Drosophila melanogaster: one gene and its partners. Changing the gene in region 3 together with the main gene of any one other region gives a genetic interaction. Each region holds a gene or a part of one and is shown on either strand. Other genes may lie near its edges. The genes, in order: p38b, Adck1, Sod2 and Sdhaf3.

Region 1 (4,130 bases), on a different chromosome or scaffold from region 3:
TGTTGTGTCTCTGGCCGTCTGACTGTTGCTCAAACGGCTGCGACTTGGAAAGCAACGTGGGCAGCCCAGACACAGGCAGTCGTAATTGTTGAAAGTACGCTGGGTACACCAGTGCCAGCTCACATACATACATATGTACATAGGTGCTCATAGAGAGGGACCTGTATACATATATGTACGAACCATATACATATATATGACGCCTAATCGAAATGTGCTGCGAGTAGGAGCCGCATCGATCCGATCTCCAAGATCCAAACTCCAAGCTCTAAGCTTTTCCAAAACCGAAACCCAACTGATCCCCAGCGATTGGATCGAGTGGGGGCATATATGTACATATAGCGCCTAAATTGCGACGATCTCGGCTGATAAGATAGCAAAGGCCCTCTGGCTGGTGCGTAGAACAGCGAAAGGTAAAAACAAGGTTATTTCCAGAACGAATTGATAACCTCCAGAGGTCGCGAATACATCGAGAATAGGGGGCGAAACGGGTTTCGGTTTCGGAAGAGTCTAAGCGCCAATCATCCGCTAAAAATAACGCCAACAAAATTTTGGCAAAGTGCTGGTGGTGTCTTCTTAATTATGATTAATTGTTCGCCAGCTATTCATTTGTTGTTTATCATTGTTTCAAGACATTCTGCTCACCGTGCAAGTTGATGGTGCAGGTTGTATTGTTTCCGCGATCCAGAACAACTACACTCGTTGCGGCCATTGCGGCCGCTGTCGTGGCCATTTTGAATTTTCCTAACGGTAAAGGTATATCCGGGGGATCGTTTGAGATCCTGTGTATGTTTGTGTGCGTGCCTGCCTACTGAGGGAGTATATCTTTGAAAAATTGGGTACGAAAAGAAACTGTAGCTCCGTGGCACTTAAAGCAAGGCGATCTGGTTTCGTACTCAAAACGGGCGTCGATTGAACTTTAATTTGCGCATTTACATAATGTTTGCAAAAATTATTCTGCACACAAAGCACCGCACTCACACAGACGCGCCAGCACACACACACTCACTCGCACACACACATACACACGCACGCACAGAGCGCAGCTTGAGTTTTTGTCAATGAACAAATACGTATGGAAAAAACTCGTGCAAAAAACGTTCGGGCGAAAAGCGTCACGACCCGGACCTTCGATGTTCTGCCAACGAGCGACCGATTGAAACTAAACCAGCTTGCGCCAACTGACCGCCTTCTGTTACCGGCCCATGTTAAGCTTTAAAATTAGCTTTATGTCCATGGTCGACGAGGGAGTACTCTACCTTAAAATTATATTTTTAACGTATAACTAAGTATTTACTGAAGTGGATGATATTACCACATTATTCACGAGTTTATGGTTTCATATAAGTTCATTTTTTGCTTTAATTAATGCATTTTTAATTTAAATATTTCTTATTCTCAAAGGTGTGATAATAAAGAATACATACATAGAACTCTCCAAATAATATTGAAAGTATTTAAATTGTAATATAATCTTAAAAACTTTAATCAAAATTGCATATAAAAATCTAATTATTATTATTGTTTGTGACGATCATGTACTCTGTCAACCAAACTGCGCAGAAGCTTTGTGAATTGATCCGCTGCCTCGATGGACTCTGATTTTTGTAGGGGACACCCTAAAGCCAACCATGTTAACGCATAAACGAGCAGCAGCTGATTGGAAATCGGACCCATTTGCGGTTATCGATAGCCAAGACAGCGTTGTTGTCCAATCAGAAAAGGTGTAGGCGCAGCGGAATAGCATAAATAAAATCCGAGAGATGTAAGTTGCAACTTATTTGTGCAGATACAAATGAATCTGGGCAGGAATACCCGAAATTAGCTACGTTTTCCCGTAATACCCGGTACGATTACTCATTTCCAGCAATGTTGAGGCCGCGAAGTGTGGAACAGAGATAACTAATCCCACAAGCAAGAAGAAGAACTGCCCAAAAAAAGAGCCAGCGGATTAATAACATTATAGCACCGCACCTGAGCGTACAGAACATCCCAACGAAATGTCGCGCAAAATGGCCAAATTCTACAAGCTGGACATCAATCGCACCGAGTGGGAAATCCCGGAAACATACCAGAACCTGCAACCCGTGGGTCAGGGTGCCTACGGCCAGGTCTGCAAGGCCGTGGTCCGCGGAACCAGCACGAAGGTGGCCATCAAGAAGCTTGCCAGGCCCTTCCAGTCGGCGGTCCATGCGAAGCGCACCTATCGGGAACTGCGGCTGCTGAAGCACATGGATCACGAGAACGTTATTGGTCTGCTGGATGTCTTTCATCCAGGACAGCCCGCCGATTCGCTGGATCAGTTCCAGCAAGTGTACATGGTGACCCACTTGATGGACGCCGATCTGAACAACATAATACGCACGCAGAAACTGTCTGATGATCATGTCCAGTTTCTGGTCTACCAAATCCTGCGCGGTCTGAAGTACATCCACAGCGCTGGGGTCATCCATCGTGATCTAAAGCCATCGAACATTGCGGTAAACGAGGACTGTGAGCTTCGCATCCTGGATTTCGGTTTGGCCCGTCCCGCAGAAAGCGAGATGACCGGATACGTCGCAACGCGATGGTACCGGGCGCCTGAGATCATGCTCAACTGGATGCACTACAACCAGACGGCGGACATCTGGTCGGTGGGCTGCATCATGGCTGAGCTGCTGACTGGGCGCACGCTGTTCCCTGGAACCGATCACATCCATCAGCTGAACCTCATCATGGAAGTGCTGGGCACGCCAGCTGATGAGTTCATGAGCCGCATCTCCTCGGAGAGCGCTAGAAACTATATTCGTTCACTGCCGGTGATGCCGCGCCGCAATTTCCGCGACATCTTCCGCGGTGCCAATCCGCTGGCCATCGATTTGCTGGAGAAGATGCTGGAACTTGACGCCGACAAGCGCATAACCGCCGAGCAGGCGCTGGCCCATCCGTACATGGAGAAGTACCACGATCCAACCGATGAGCAGACCGCCGCGCTCTACGACCAGAGCTTCGAGGAGAACGAGCTGCCGGTGGAGAAGTGGCGGGAGATGGTCTTCAGCGAGGTGACGGCCTTCAAGCCCACAGCCGCCTTCGCTGAGCTCCTGCCCAAAGAGCAGTAATCCCGGCCGCCATCCCTCTCCGTTCAATGATGCTATATACAATTAGAACAGTCTTTTCTACACCTAGTTCAAGCGGATGCGCTCAGTCGTGATTTCTCTACTCGTCGAGTGTAAACAATCGGGGATATTTATTCTAGAGCGATTTATATTTAGAAACTCTTCAGTGGCTGGATTTCAACAATTTGTTTTGACCACAAACGTAAGGTGAAATAGTATTGTATTTTCGAACCTTCGATTTGCATTCGATGGATATAGAAATAGCGATTGAACTAGGTGCATGCCTGAAATGTAGCCATTCGGAAATGTTTCCAAAAATCAATCAGAGTCACAGCCTTAATGTCCAGTTCAACTTTAGATTTGGTGTCGGTTTTAACACGCAGTTCTTGTGAATAATCCTGTAAATGTGAGTGTACATGTACATCGTAGTTCGTAAGCGAACGCATCTAGCGGCCAGTAACTATAAAAAAGAGCACTAGTGTCTACGTTGAATCCAAATAAATGTGCTATGTATTTTAAAAAATGAGATCCTCTAGATATCGCTCGAATTCCTGCTCTCTGGAGGCTTGCTCTCGGCTTATATCGGGTTGTTGTTGCCAGATCTGTTCGTCTGCCGTGGTGGCATCCTTTGAGTCTGTGGGCTCCTTGCTGGCTTCTGGATGGGATTCGGATGCTGGTTCGACAGGCTCCTCCTCCTCTTCGCCAGAACTTTCGTGACCAACATCGAGTTTTCGACGCTTACGTTTCTTTTCAGCGCGCCGTTCCTCCTTTTCCCTGCGTCTCCGCTTCTTGCATTCTCTCTTCTTGGTGCGGTAGTTCAGCTGATCCGTGTGGGTGGGACACAGCCGCACCTATGGAATTCCCATTAGTGACACAATCGCGGAAACCCATTTGGAACCCACCTTGACCAGCGCATTTAGGGGCTCACCCTTTTCGATATACCTAAAGTTTACCTCCCAGCTGCGCAGATTATCCCGCTCCCCGCAATGCCGGCTGCCGCACTGGAACTGCCCGGTTCCGGTGACCACCTCCTGC
Region 2 (4,759 bases), 7.8 Mb from region 3:
ATGTGCGTTCTTCGCTGTCAGCCCCGAGTCTGACCCATGCCCGGATGTCCTATCAATTCGGTGGCCAGTAGTTCAGGTTAGTCGGCTCTGTCTGTTCGTCAGAGAACTGCTGTCTTCGAGACATTTTTCAGTTCCAATCAGGAATTAACACCCGAGTTCAACATGGCCCCTGCCATAAACGCGACGGTCAGCACCCCTTTTGACTCCACCACGGTGGCCAACGGAACACTTAACACCACTGAAAGTACGACATCGGATTGGGAATACGTTAACACCACTTCCGTCACAATTTGGATCAACGGTGGCGGCTACGATGGTCCATACATGTTATTTTATCCCAGCTATGTCATTTACATTGTGCTGGTCTTCCTCTTCGTCATCGCCTTTCCTCTGGCCATGATTATGGTAAGCCCATTCGGAATGGGACACTACCTGCTCCTGCTAATGATTCACTCTCTCCCCGAAGAGCGCCAAACGCAAGCGAGAGACCAATGTGCGGAATCTGGCCCAGCAGAGACAACGAGGTAATTTCCCTTTCCTCGTGAAGAGTTTTGTACTTTTAATTGGGGGACACCGTTTAGTCTAAATAACCTGCTTGAGAGCTTCAAGGAAACCAAAATTAATCAGTCCCAGGTAGAGGTAGTAGCAGTTGAGCTTGAAAAGCTCCCATCGCTCGCGCACCCGCAGCCACAGGATTCGCGAGGATCCGGAATCAGACTGCTTGGCTCGCTGTTCAGCGTACGAAGATTGAACACAGCACTTGGACATAACCCAGAAGGCGGTCATCCGGTTCTGCGTGCGCAGCGTGGACTCAATTCCGCGGATCAAGTCATTTGTCTTCAGAATGAGCAGCATCTGACGGTCCACCTGCTCCAATACGTCGGAAATGTGCGGCAGCACCAGGGACGTGTTGTTTTGCAGCGTGTTCTTCTGCAGAATCAAAGCATATACTACGAGTAATTGAAGAGAAGAATTTCCGGCACGAACTTACCTCTTCTTTGGAATATTTGACTTTGGTCAGGCCCTGCATCACCGTCTCCCAAGGTCGTCCCGTCACCATGCATGCGAAAAGACCGTACAGATCGCCCTGGATTGAAGGTTTAGAAGGTTAGAAGGTTTAGGTTCAAATCCACCTCCCAAGCGAAAATACCTTAATTCCCAGCTGCTCACTGTGTTGTCGCATCGCTTTGCGGTCCACCTTAAGGATACTCAGCCAGAGATTGGAATAATCGTACCGAAACTTGTCCGTCAGATTTGCATACAGCCCGTGATCCAGCAGAACTATCTCCAGACTGTTTTCCGGCGTGCGTCTTACCAAGATGTTTCCTGGATGCGGATCGCTGTGCACGAAACCGGTGCGGAAGATCATCTCGGAGTAGAGCTGCCCAATGCGATTGGCCACCGCAAATGAGTCAATTTTGTTTCGCCGTATGTAGTCCAAGTCCGTGACATGCCCACCCTCCAGGTACTCCATGACTAGGACTCGAGAAGAGCTATATTTCCAGTATATCTTGGGCACCCGAAGCCACGAGTACTTCTTGAACTGCTTGGCTACTTTCTCGGCGTTACGTCCCTCGTTTAGGAAATCGAGTTCGATTGGCAAGTTCTTTTTAGACTCCTCAACCAGCCAGTGGATCTTGAAGTCGGGAAATATCCGAGCCAGCACATTAACGGCCAGTTCCATGGTCTTCATGTCAACGCGGGAGTTACCCTTAACGTAGGGATGTTGCACCTTCACGGCCACCAGCTCGCCGGTCTTGAGGCGCGCCTTATGTACCTGGGCAAGGGAAGCAGTTCCCAGCGGCTCCCTCTCGAAGCTGTCGAAGATTTCTTCCGGATTGCAGTGCAGATCCTGTCGGATTACCTTATACAGGTCCTCAATGGGGTTTTGCGGCGCATCGGAGTGAAGTACCTTCATGGTCTGCACAAACTCCTTGGGTAGCAGGTACTCCAAGGCCCCTATGTGCTGGCCCACCTTGATGTAGACACCCTTGTTTATGCAGATCAGCTGAAGTAGCTTCTCGGCGGCTATCTTGTGGACCCGGCTCTTTTCCGCCTTGTACTCGGGCGTCTCCTTATCCCATTCCTTGTAGTAAAGTTCCCGCTTGTAGGTGAGTGCCACGTCCACGACGGCGGCGGCGGATCGCGACAGCCGGACGATTCCGAGTGAGTTGGGATCGTAGTCGTTGGTGTGCAGGCTCCAGCCGGCGGAGGCCAGTCCGGCGCCGACTACTCCGTAGCCCAGAACGCGACGCAACAGCATTCCTCCGGCTGCAAAATGAAGAGCGTTTAGTCCGGTGTGCAAAAACAACAGGTGTCAATGCCGATTAACCTTTGGGCTTTCACCTAAATTAAGCGCGTAGTTTTACGCGGAACCAAGGCACTGAGGCACTTTGAACTTTGCCCTCCGCTAACTGATTTTTGGCGAATACAGCCCACTTAACCTGTTGCATCTCCGCCAGCATTTTCATTTACATTTTTCCCATTTACATTTTCCAGCGCTCACATGTAGCTAAACTTTCACCTCAGTAATTTCGTCTGCGCCATTATGTAAACACAACTGACTGAAGGTGAGTCGCGGCTCGCTCGGAATGACTGCCAATAGTTTCACTTACTCGATATGGTGCACTACAGATAGCGCCGGAGTTCAACGGCGCGTAGGTGTTGAAATTCCAAAGTCTGTGATTAAATTGATGCGCTTCCACTTCTGTGGTGGCCTTAGTTGGCGCAATCAGCTGTTGGCCTGGCGTCAGAGCAGCTGACCCAATAGCAGAGCTCAAGGGCGTAGTTGTTTTGGCATAAGGGGGTTGAGTGCTCTTACCATAATATAACGGCTTTTTAATCAGCATGAAAAACGTTATTATAAATGTCGTTTAAAATAAAGAACGACTCGAACAGTATGTTGAAAGTCATTAGTGAGACCCGACCCCCCTGTGGAAGGCTGGTTGCTTTTTCTGCTTTAAAAGCGGGTAACATTTAACGGTTAACAGAACATGTTACGCTATATATAAAGGAATACCAATATTAGCAGGTATCGGTTAACAGAACGCAGCGATTTAGACGTATATTTAAAAGATATAGTTGCTAACTTCCGTTTTTAAAGAGATTCTCTGAGGTTTCCTTGTCCACTACGATTTAAATCTCTTTTTTCGCAGCCCGTCGCCAAATGGAGATCAATGTGACGAACAATTGCAACGGCGGCTCCGGAGGAGTCGGAAACGTGTGCTCAAACAGCCAGAACGAAGTTAGTGTCCTGCCCAAGACCTTGGATTTGCCGCCCAGCTACGACGAGGCCGCTTTTAGCGAGCGAAAGCAGGACAGCACACTGACCATAGCCACCAGCTTGGAAGCGAGCAATCCCAATTTGGCGGTTGGAATTAACGAACCACCGCCGGTTTACGAGGCGAACGTGGCCACAACCACCACTTCCACCACCACCACCGTATTTTTGGTCAACGGCCAACCACCAGTGGTGTAACAAAGCATTGGACTTCTGAGAAATAGTAAATCTATTATTATTTATACACTAAACAAGACACTGTACAGCTTTGCCTTTGTAAATAAATCTTGCTCCTCGGCAACTCTTTAATTTTGCATAACTTATAAACCCCATTGGAGTAAATAAATAAATAAACGTATAGTGCATATTAAAAAATTTTTCTGGTCGAAAATTATATGTAAATAATGAACTTCGTAATTTTGCAAGATTTTTAAAATAGTAGGCATATGAAAACCCTTCTGGTCGAAAACTATATGCTATATGCTAATAAAATGAGTAAACGCTGCGTATTAACTCTTCAGTATTGACCAACTTAACGCTAATTGTAAAGGAAAAGAAAGTTGAATAATTCGCAACCAAACTAAATGAAAACTACTAACTTAAGATATAACACGAAACTAAAGAATAATTTGAAAACAAATATATGGCTAGGTGCATTAGCACCTCAAAATTTCGTCGAGGGTAGGTCCCCAGCGGCCGTAAGGATCCTTGGGTAAAATGAATATGTTGTCGCACCAGGAGTAACCAAGAACTCGATTCTCAACGATCAATTTAAATGCAGGATTTTCATTAATCAGGTCTCTGTAGTTGTCGTTGGAAACCACGGCGGCATTCTTTTCGTATGCCAGCTGCAAAATGAAACTGAAAAAAAAAATTATGCATTTCCATTTCTAAATAGAAGTTTTTTCTAAGGAGCTCACCGATCATCGTAGCTAGACGTAATTTGACCGGGAATGTTTTTGCACGGCGTAAACACAATCTTCCCTTCCTTGTGCAGCTTATCGAGAAGCTCGGGATTCGAAGACTTGAAGTTGTTTTTCCGGAACATTGGAACCACAGCCTTAACTTCGTGACCCATTTTCTCAAAATACTGCAAGCAATACTTTATTCCCTCTGATGAAAACACGTTTGAGTTGCCATGACTGTCAAATGAAAATGAAATAAATAGTCCGTCTAGAGTTAGCTTTAAGCAGAGAACTTACGCAAAGGCGACATTGCTACCATCGATGATAACAAACCTCTTATTCGTTTTCGGCTTATTACTCGCCTCTCCTGCTTCCTCCGTGGGATTAAATGTGTTGGTGTTATAGTCTCCGAGCTTCTTCTTTTCTTCAGTGGTGAAGAAGCTGTCATTCATTCGAGCAGTCTTCTTATTGGGCGTTTTCGCAGGCCTAGCCCTTCTCTGCTTCTCTCCTTCCCGAAACGGCGGCGAGTACGATGGTATCGGGATGAAATCTTCTCCGGTAGTGTCTTCAATAT
Region 3 (3,513 bases):
AAGTTAAATTCCTTGATGGGCGTCAACAGTTCTCCTCACACACTCACAATCACAGTTCTTTATTAAATTATTATTGCACTCAAGTGGTTTATTTTGTATGTTTTTCATTCGTCACCGCCCTCAGGAAATTAAATGATTTTCCTTTGTTTCGTACTGGTCTCTCGATTTCAAAACTCCGGGCGATTTTCGAGGATGGCCATTACGCGAACAGGCAACAAACGACTCTGCCAGCGGCTGGCCATTTGTTCCACCATTCGGATACGCGTGCTGGAAAATTGTTTGCAGCTGCGCGCACGCAAGTTCGGGAAAACTCGGTGGAAATGTCAATTTTCCTCCCCCGATTTCGCGGCAGGCTGACTTTTGTTTTGTTTTTGTTTGGCTCGCGCACAGCTGATTTGCTAGAGATGGCACCATGGGCGGCAGTGTTGTAAAACATTTACAGTATTTGCGATATTTTAATTTAATATAAAAATTAATTTTTTTGGAGCGTAATAAAATTGATAAAAATAAAAAATATGAATAGGTATATGTATATTTTTTAATTCCTCAATGAAGTAATAGTTTCAATACGCCTTTGTGAAGCGTTATCTTCGGAAATTATGTTTTAAATTGTTTTATTCCCATTCATAAAAATTATAAAAATTAGTTGCTAGCTGGTACCAATTTATTAGCCGCAACTTAGACTACAATTTAGGATCTCCGATCCGCAGATGCTTATAGATTAAACATACGCAATCGCCGGCTGTGCTTAGCAACCGAGCTTCTTGGCCTCCTGGAAGCGGCACGAGATGTCATCCCAGTTGGCGATGTCCCAGATGGCCTCCACGTAGGAGGGACGCACGTTCTTGTACTGCAGATAGTAGGCGTGCTCCCAGACATCGATGCCGAAGAGCGGGATCAGGCCGGTGGAGGCCTCCAGGGGATCCTGGTTGGGCAGGGCGGCCAGTTGCAGTTTGCCCGACTTCTTGTTGAAGCCCAGCCAGCCCCAGCCGGAGCCCTGGACCGCCACGGTCAGCGTGGTCAGCTCCTTTTTGAACTCCTCGAGGCTCTTCCACTGCGACTCGATGGCCTTCTTCAGATCATCGCTGGGCTGGGTCTTGTTGGGCGAGAGGTTCTGCCAGAAGATGGTGTGGTTGATGTGGCCACCGCCATTGAAACGCAGGGCAGGAGCCAGCTGAATCAGCTTGGTGGTGTCGCTCTTCGACTTGGCCTCCTCCAGCTGCTCCTCGGCGGCATTTAGATTGTTGACGTAGGTCTGGTGGTGCTTCTGGTGATGCAGCTCCATGATCTCCCGGCAGATGATAGGCTCCAGGGCGGCATAGTCGTAGGGCAGCTTCGGTAGGGTGTGCTTGCCACGCACCGCCAGGCTGCAAAGGGTTAAGTGTGTCTTGTTTTATAATGTCCTCAAGATCAGGGTCGCCATTTGTTGCTATTTATGTAATCAGCCGGCATCGATTTGGGCATACTTTTTTTCGCAACTTACCTTGCAGTTTGCGAAATTTTACGGGCCACGAACATATCTGCGTTTTATTCGACTGCTAATAAGGCTAAGTCCCGATATCAGATTTTATATCAAATAAAACAAGGCTTACGTTCTCGTTATTTCGCTTGTTCTATTTGAACAATTTACTGCTAGAGATGAGCAGATGAGAAAATATCGAAAGACCCCAATCAGTCAGTGATGTGAGATCAACTTATATATATTGAAGTTAAATAGTAAAACTAAAAGAAATTAAAAACTATTTTTAATTGAAACATTGCACTGAAACATATTCAAATCATATTGAGGATTTCTTAAATATTTCTTATGTTTAAATACTACTTTAGTGACTATTAGCATATTTTAGCTGCTTACGTATCGACTGCATCCATTCGATTGATACTTGAATTAATCGATTTTTGGCCTCTGTATGTCATGGCGCTAAATTGGAAATAAACCATGAAATTAACGTCATAAGTTTAAAAATCCGACTGGAACACAGCACACAACATGTCTACATTTCAAATACCTTCCCGAATCAAAATCGATATAACAAATAAACGGGCACAGAACATTCTTCACAAATATCTACATTTACGTAAGTTGCTTAAATAAGCTAAAGATTTTATGATTTGACCATGATTCGTTCAGCAACCTCTCCTGGAAACATGAGCAGCGAGGTAGATAGTAATTCACACCACGCCGCAGTGGTTATTGACAACGGCTCTGGAGTATGTAAGGCTGGATTCTCCCCAGAAGATACTCCCCGTGCTGTCTTCCCGTCGATTGTGGGCAGACCTCGTCACCTGAACGTCCTGCTGGATTCCGTGATCGGTGATAGTGTTATTGGCGAGGCGGCAGCCCGAAAAAGGGGAATACTAACCCTAAAGTATCCCATCGAGCACGGAATGGTCAAGAACTGGGATGAAATGGAGATGGTTTGGCAGCACACGTACGAGCTCTTGCGGGCGGATCCAATGGATTTGCCGGCTCTACTCACCGAAGCCCCACTGAATCCGAAGAAGAATAGAGAGAAGATGACAGAGATTATGTTCGAACACTTTCAGGTGCCAGCTTTTTATGTAGCAGTTCAGGCTGTGCTCTCACTTTACGCCACCGGGCGTACTGTGGGCATTGTGGTGGACTCGGGTGATGGTGTGACGCACACGGTACCGATCTACGAAGGATTTGCCCTGCCCCACGCCTGTGTACGAGTTGATCTGGCCGGCAGGGACCTCACCGATTATCTATGCAAGCTGCTTCTGGAGAGGGGCGTTACAATGGGCACCTCTGCTGAACGGGAAATCGTGCGTGAAATCAAGGAGAAACTCTGCTATGTGTCAATGAACTATGCCAAGGAAATGGATCTCCACGGAAAGGTGGAAACCTATGAGCTGCCAGATGGGCAGAAAATCGTTTTGGGCTGCGAGAGATTCCGCTGCCCGGAGGCTCTCTTCCAACCCAGTTTGCTGGGTCAGGAGGTGATGGGCATCCACGAGGCCACCCATCACTCGATAACCAACTGCGACATGGATCTGCGAAAGGATATGTATGCGAACATTGTTCTCTCTGGCGGTACGACCATGTTTCGTAACATCGAGCATAGATTCCTGCAAGACCTAACCGAAATGGCTCCACCATCCATCCGAATCAAGGTTAACGCTAGTCCAGACCGCAGATTCTCCGTTTGGACGGGTGGTTCCGTCTTGGCCTCACTCACGAGCTTCCAAAACATGTGGATCGACAGCTTGGAGTACGAAGAAGTTGGTTCCGCCATAGTCCATCGAAAGTGTTTTTAGTTAAGGAGGGTGTTCAAATATTCGTTATGAGCAATGATTATTATATATTTTCTATTTGCTAATGAATGTAATTTCTTAAACAAATCTAGTCGATATAAAATAAACAAAACTGGGGGTTACCTACACAAAAATTAGTTGCATTTGGGAAGCACAAGGCCCATGTAACGCCCTTCTAACAGCACAAATGCAACACTATCTAAACTAACCGCCAGATTAACTAGCCCCCAGGTAAAC
Region 4 (3,072 bases), on a different chromosome or scaffold from region 3:
TCTGTTATTATAAATATTATTTCCATTCAAATATTGGATGAACTACTCTTCGATAGACGACACAATCTTAAGTTCTTCCTTCTGTTAACCACATAAATAAAATTAATTTAAAGTTTCGTGTCACGATTACGGCTTATCGATATCTGGCGCCAGTGTCACTAGTATTTGTACCATCACTAACCTTGGTCATAAAAATAAAAGCTAGCGTTCCATTTATTTTCCATCGCCCGAGCGCTGTTCCCTATCCATTAACACGTCTCAATCCTGGAGTGCACAACATCCGGTGAGAGGACTACCAAAAAGAGATAGTCCGCCGCTGGTTGTAGGTGAATAAACAGTGAAGAAGCGAAGAGTCCAAAGGATACAATCGCAACCCACTTGCCAAGCTGCACACTTTGAGTCCAACGTTGGAGGAGGAGCCGCCATGAATGCCCTGCGGCAGTTCTACCTGGAGATCCCGGTGGTCACACGAGCCTACACCACGGTCTGCGTGCTGACCACCTTGGCGGTGGTAAGTGTATCCCGTAGTGCGTTCTAAATCGCGGATGACGTGTACGTGTATTATCTTCGATTATATTTTTTGCCAACTTTTAAGCACCTGGACCTGGTGTCGCCGCTGCAGCTCTACTTCAATCCCACGCTGATTGTGCGCAAGTTCCAGATCTGGCGCTTGGCCACCACATTCCTGTACTTTGGCACAATAGGCATCAGTTTCTTTTTCAATATGGTGTTTACATATCGATATTGTCGAATGTTGGAGGACGGATCTTTCCGCGGACGCAGCTCCGACTTTGTCATGATGTTCATCTTTGGCGGCGTGCTAATGACCTTCTTCGGAATCTTCGTCAACCTGTTGTTCCTGGGCCAGGCCTTCACATTAATGCTGGTCTATGTGTGGTCACGACGCAATCCACTGGTGCCAATGAATTTCTTCGGGGTGCTTAACTTCCAGGCGCCGTACCTTCCGTGGGTGCTCCTCTGCTGCTCCATGATTCTGGGAAACACCGTGTGGGTGGATGTCATCGGCATGGGTGTTGGCCACATCTACTACGTGCTGGAGGACGTCTATCCTACACTGTCCAACGGCTACAGACTGATCAAAACCCCCTACTTTTTGTGAGTTTACTTTGAATTGGGATATAACTTTTGCAATAACGACTTGTTGTCCTTAGGAAACGTCTCTTCAATGAGCACATCGAACGCAACTTCCAGGCGGCTGCTGAGGATCGACCTGGCGGATTTCCTTGGGGCGGAGAGGGTCAGCCCCTGCTACCGGAAGAGATTGCGGCTGATGGACAGGATGAGGAGCCAGCGAATCGAGCGGCGCCTGTTGCTGCCGCGCCGCAATAGCAAAACTAGAAAACTTGATTGTTAAAACGTTCTTCTGTTCAAAACGACGACGATGACAACAATGTTGTGTACCCTCCGCCACCTTCTGTTTGGTGCTTGGTGTAATTAGGCGTATAGTAGTGAGAGAAAGGCGTGCAATAGTTAGCCAAAGTTGGTGCAGAGCGTGTGTGTATGTCATTTATTGGTTTGTTTTCTGAAACAGAGCTCATTTTCCATACGAGATGTTCTTTTATTTATAATTTACCCCCAAGGGATGAATCCACGACAGATTGAACCTACACTGCACATGTGATGATTATATATATACAAACCATGCCACAAATAAATCATTATATAAAAAGACCTGCAGTTTTAAAATGCTTGAAATCGCTTGGGGATTGATAAAAAAAAACCATTTGAAAAAAACATTTTCTTTTTACATTATTTGGTTTGCGGAAGTGTGGTTCAATTCGAAGTGCCTAACTTAAATATAATATGAAAATAGCATTGAACTTTTAAAGGTGACAATTCAAATGCGCGCCAAACTTTTAATACGTTGCCACCTGCCAACTCAATTTGACGTTAGCCAACACTGGCTGCGACAAAACAGTTGTTATTCGCTCGTATTTAGTTTTTAGCCGGCTGCTAAATAGTATAGTATTAGTATGTTATATGATATGAACTCAGGATGTCCAGAATTTTGATGAGCCAACTGACCCACCCTCAGAGGGTCCGACTGCTGTACAAAACGATCTTGCGACTGCACAGAGGTAAGATGAAAAATTCCCTATTACTATAAATTGCATGCATTTCAACTAAACTTCTGTACTCCGTAGGACTTCCAGCGGAACTTCGTGCTCTGGGCGATAACTATGTGCGGGACGAGTTCCGGCGACACCTCAAGTGCAATCCCATGGAGGCACAGCTCTTTATGACAGAGTGGGCCGTAAGTTTTACGTAATAAACAAAAAGGCGCCATACTAAGCAAATCTTCCATTGCAGCGATATGCGTCCACAATCACCCAACAACTAGGGATTCGGGGCAAGCCCAAGGGAGAGCTGGGCGAAGAGATTGACCCCAAGACTGTAGAAATGTTGAAAGACGACCAAGTAGTCCAACTATACGAGCTGATGCTGGCGGCCAAGGGAGTAGAAGATGCGCAAGGCAAATAAATCAGTGTATTATTTTATTATGAGTGTTTCTCCAAAATCTTGTACTCGAATTTAATGCCATTCTCCTCCTGCACACCCAGTGGCATGTCGGAATCGGGCGCGACCTCTCGAAAGCTGTCAGGGATCGCGGGGAAAAAGGTGTCGCAATCGAACTTCTGCATTATTTTGGTAATGTACAGCCGGTGACACCTTGGCGAGGCCATGGCCTCCTCGTAGACTCCACTACCGCCCACAATCCAAATGTTCTCCACTTCGTTCTGCTCCTCAAGGATCTTCATGGCCGTCTCGAGATTGGGGCACAATAGTACTCCCTTGGGCAGATCACTTTCCTGAAGTGTGGTGCTCAGCACTATGTTCAGCCGATCGGGAAGAGGCCTCTTGCTTTCCGGCACTCCGAAGTAGGTTTTCCTGCCCATTACCACGGCATTTTGCTTGGTGGGATCACTTGTTCGCTTGGTGGTGCGGCTGAAGTACTTCAGCTCAGATCTGATGGTACAAAAGCTTTAGCTGCGGTTCAATCCTTGTTACCAACTTACTTAATGCGCCATGGTAGATCGCCTCTGATGCCGA

The links.
Region 1: of Sod2 (region 3) and p38b, changing one suppresses a phenotype caused by changing the other (phenotypic suppression), as found in Drosophila melanogaster (one study listed by BioGRID).
Region 2: of Sod2 (region 3) and Adck1, changing one suppresses a phenotype caused by changing the other (phenotypic suppression), as found in Drosophila melanogaster (one study listed by BioGRID).
Region 4: of Sod2 (region 3) and Sdhaf3, changing one suppresses a phenotype caused by changing the other (phenotypic suppression), as found in Drosophila melanogaster (one study listed by BioGRID).

What each region holds. Positions count from the first base shown.
Region 1 is NT_033779.5:13,779,000-13,783,129, forward strand, and holds p38b (p38b MAP kinase), read left to right. Parts: upstream 1-1,689; 5' UTR 1,690-1,765; intron 1,766-1,867; 5' UTR 1,868-2,000; coding exon 2,001-3,098; 3' UTR 3,099-3,610; downstream 3,611-4,130. Other genes in the region: CG9008 (uncharacterized protein), read right to left, coding at 646-733; CG16890 (uncharacterized protein), read right to left, coding at 3,611-3,946, 3,998-4,130.
Region 2 is NT_033778.4:24,609,679-24,614,437, reverse strand, and holds Adck1 (aarF domain containing kinase 1), read right to left. Parts: upstream 2,736-4,759; 5' UTR 2,616-2,735; exon of another isoform or gene 2,594-2,615; intron 2,557-2,593; exon of another isoform or gene 2,272-2,556; 5' UTR 2,264-2,271; coding exon 1,151-2,263; intron 1,088-1,150; coding exon 992-1,087; intron 931-991; coding exon 583-930; 3' UTR 532-582; downstream 1-531. Other genes in the region: CG4741 (uncharacterized protein), read left to right, coding at 163-405, 467-524, 3,156-3,478; CG42360 (uncharacterized protein), read right to left, coding at 3,937-4,141, 4,201-4,422, 4,483-4,759. UniProt on the Drosophila melanogaster protein: Essential for maintaining mitochondrial cristae formation and mitochondrial function by acting via YME1L to regulate the mitochondrial structural proteins Opa1 and Mitofilin. This function is likely to be kinase-independent.
Region 3 is NT_033778.4:16,772,272-16,775,784, forward strand, and holds Sod2 (superoxide dismutase 2 (Mn)), read right to left. Parts: upstream 1,645-3,513; 5' UTR 1,519-1,644; coding exon 1,484-1,518; intron 1,368-1,483; coding exon 749-1,367; 3' UTR 514-748; downstream 1-513. Other genes in the region: Arp53D (Actin-related protein 53D), read left to right, coding at 1,991-2,078, 2,132-3,279. UniProt on the Drosophila melanogaster protein: Destroys superoxide anion radicals which are normally produced within the cells and which are toxic to biological systems.
Region 4 is NT_033777.3:16,481,307-16,484,378, reverse strand, and holds Sdhaf3 (succinate dehydrogenase assembly factor 3), read left to right. Parts: upstream 1-1,926; 5' UTR 1,927-2,017; coding exon 2,018-2,099; intron 2,100-2,165; coding exon 2,166-2,275; intron 2,276-2,331; coding exon 2,332-2,502; 3' UTR 2,503-2,518; downstream 2,519-3,072. Other genes in the region: Der-2 (Derlin-2), read left to right, coding at 425-511, 596-1,116, 1,173-1,350; Dhfr (dihydrofolate reductase), read right to left, coding at 2,520-2,988, 3,039-3,072. UniProt on the Drosophila melanogaster protein: Plays an essential role in the assembly of succinate dehydrogenase (SDH), an enzyme complex (also referred to as respiratory complex II) that is a component of both the tricarboxylic acid (TCA) cycle and the mitochondrial electron transport chain, and which couples the oxidation of succinate to fumarate with the reduction of ubiquinone (coenzyme Q) to ubiquinol.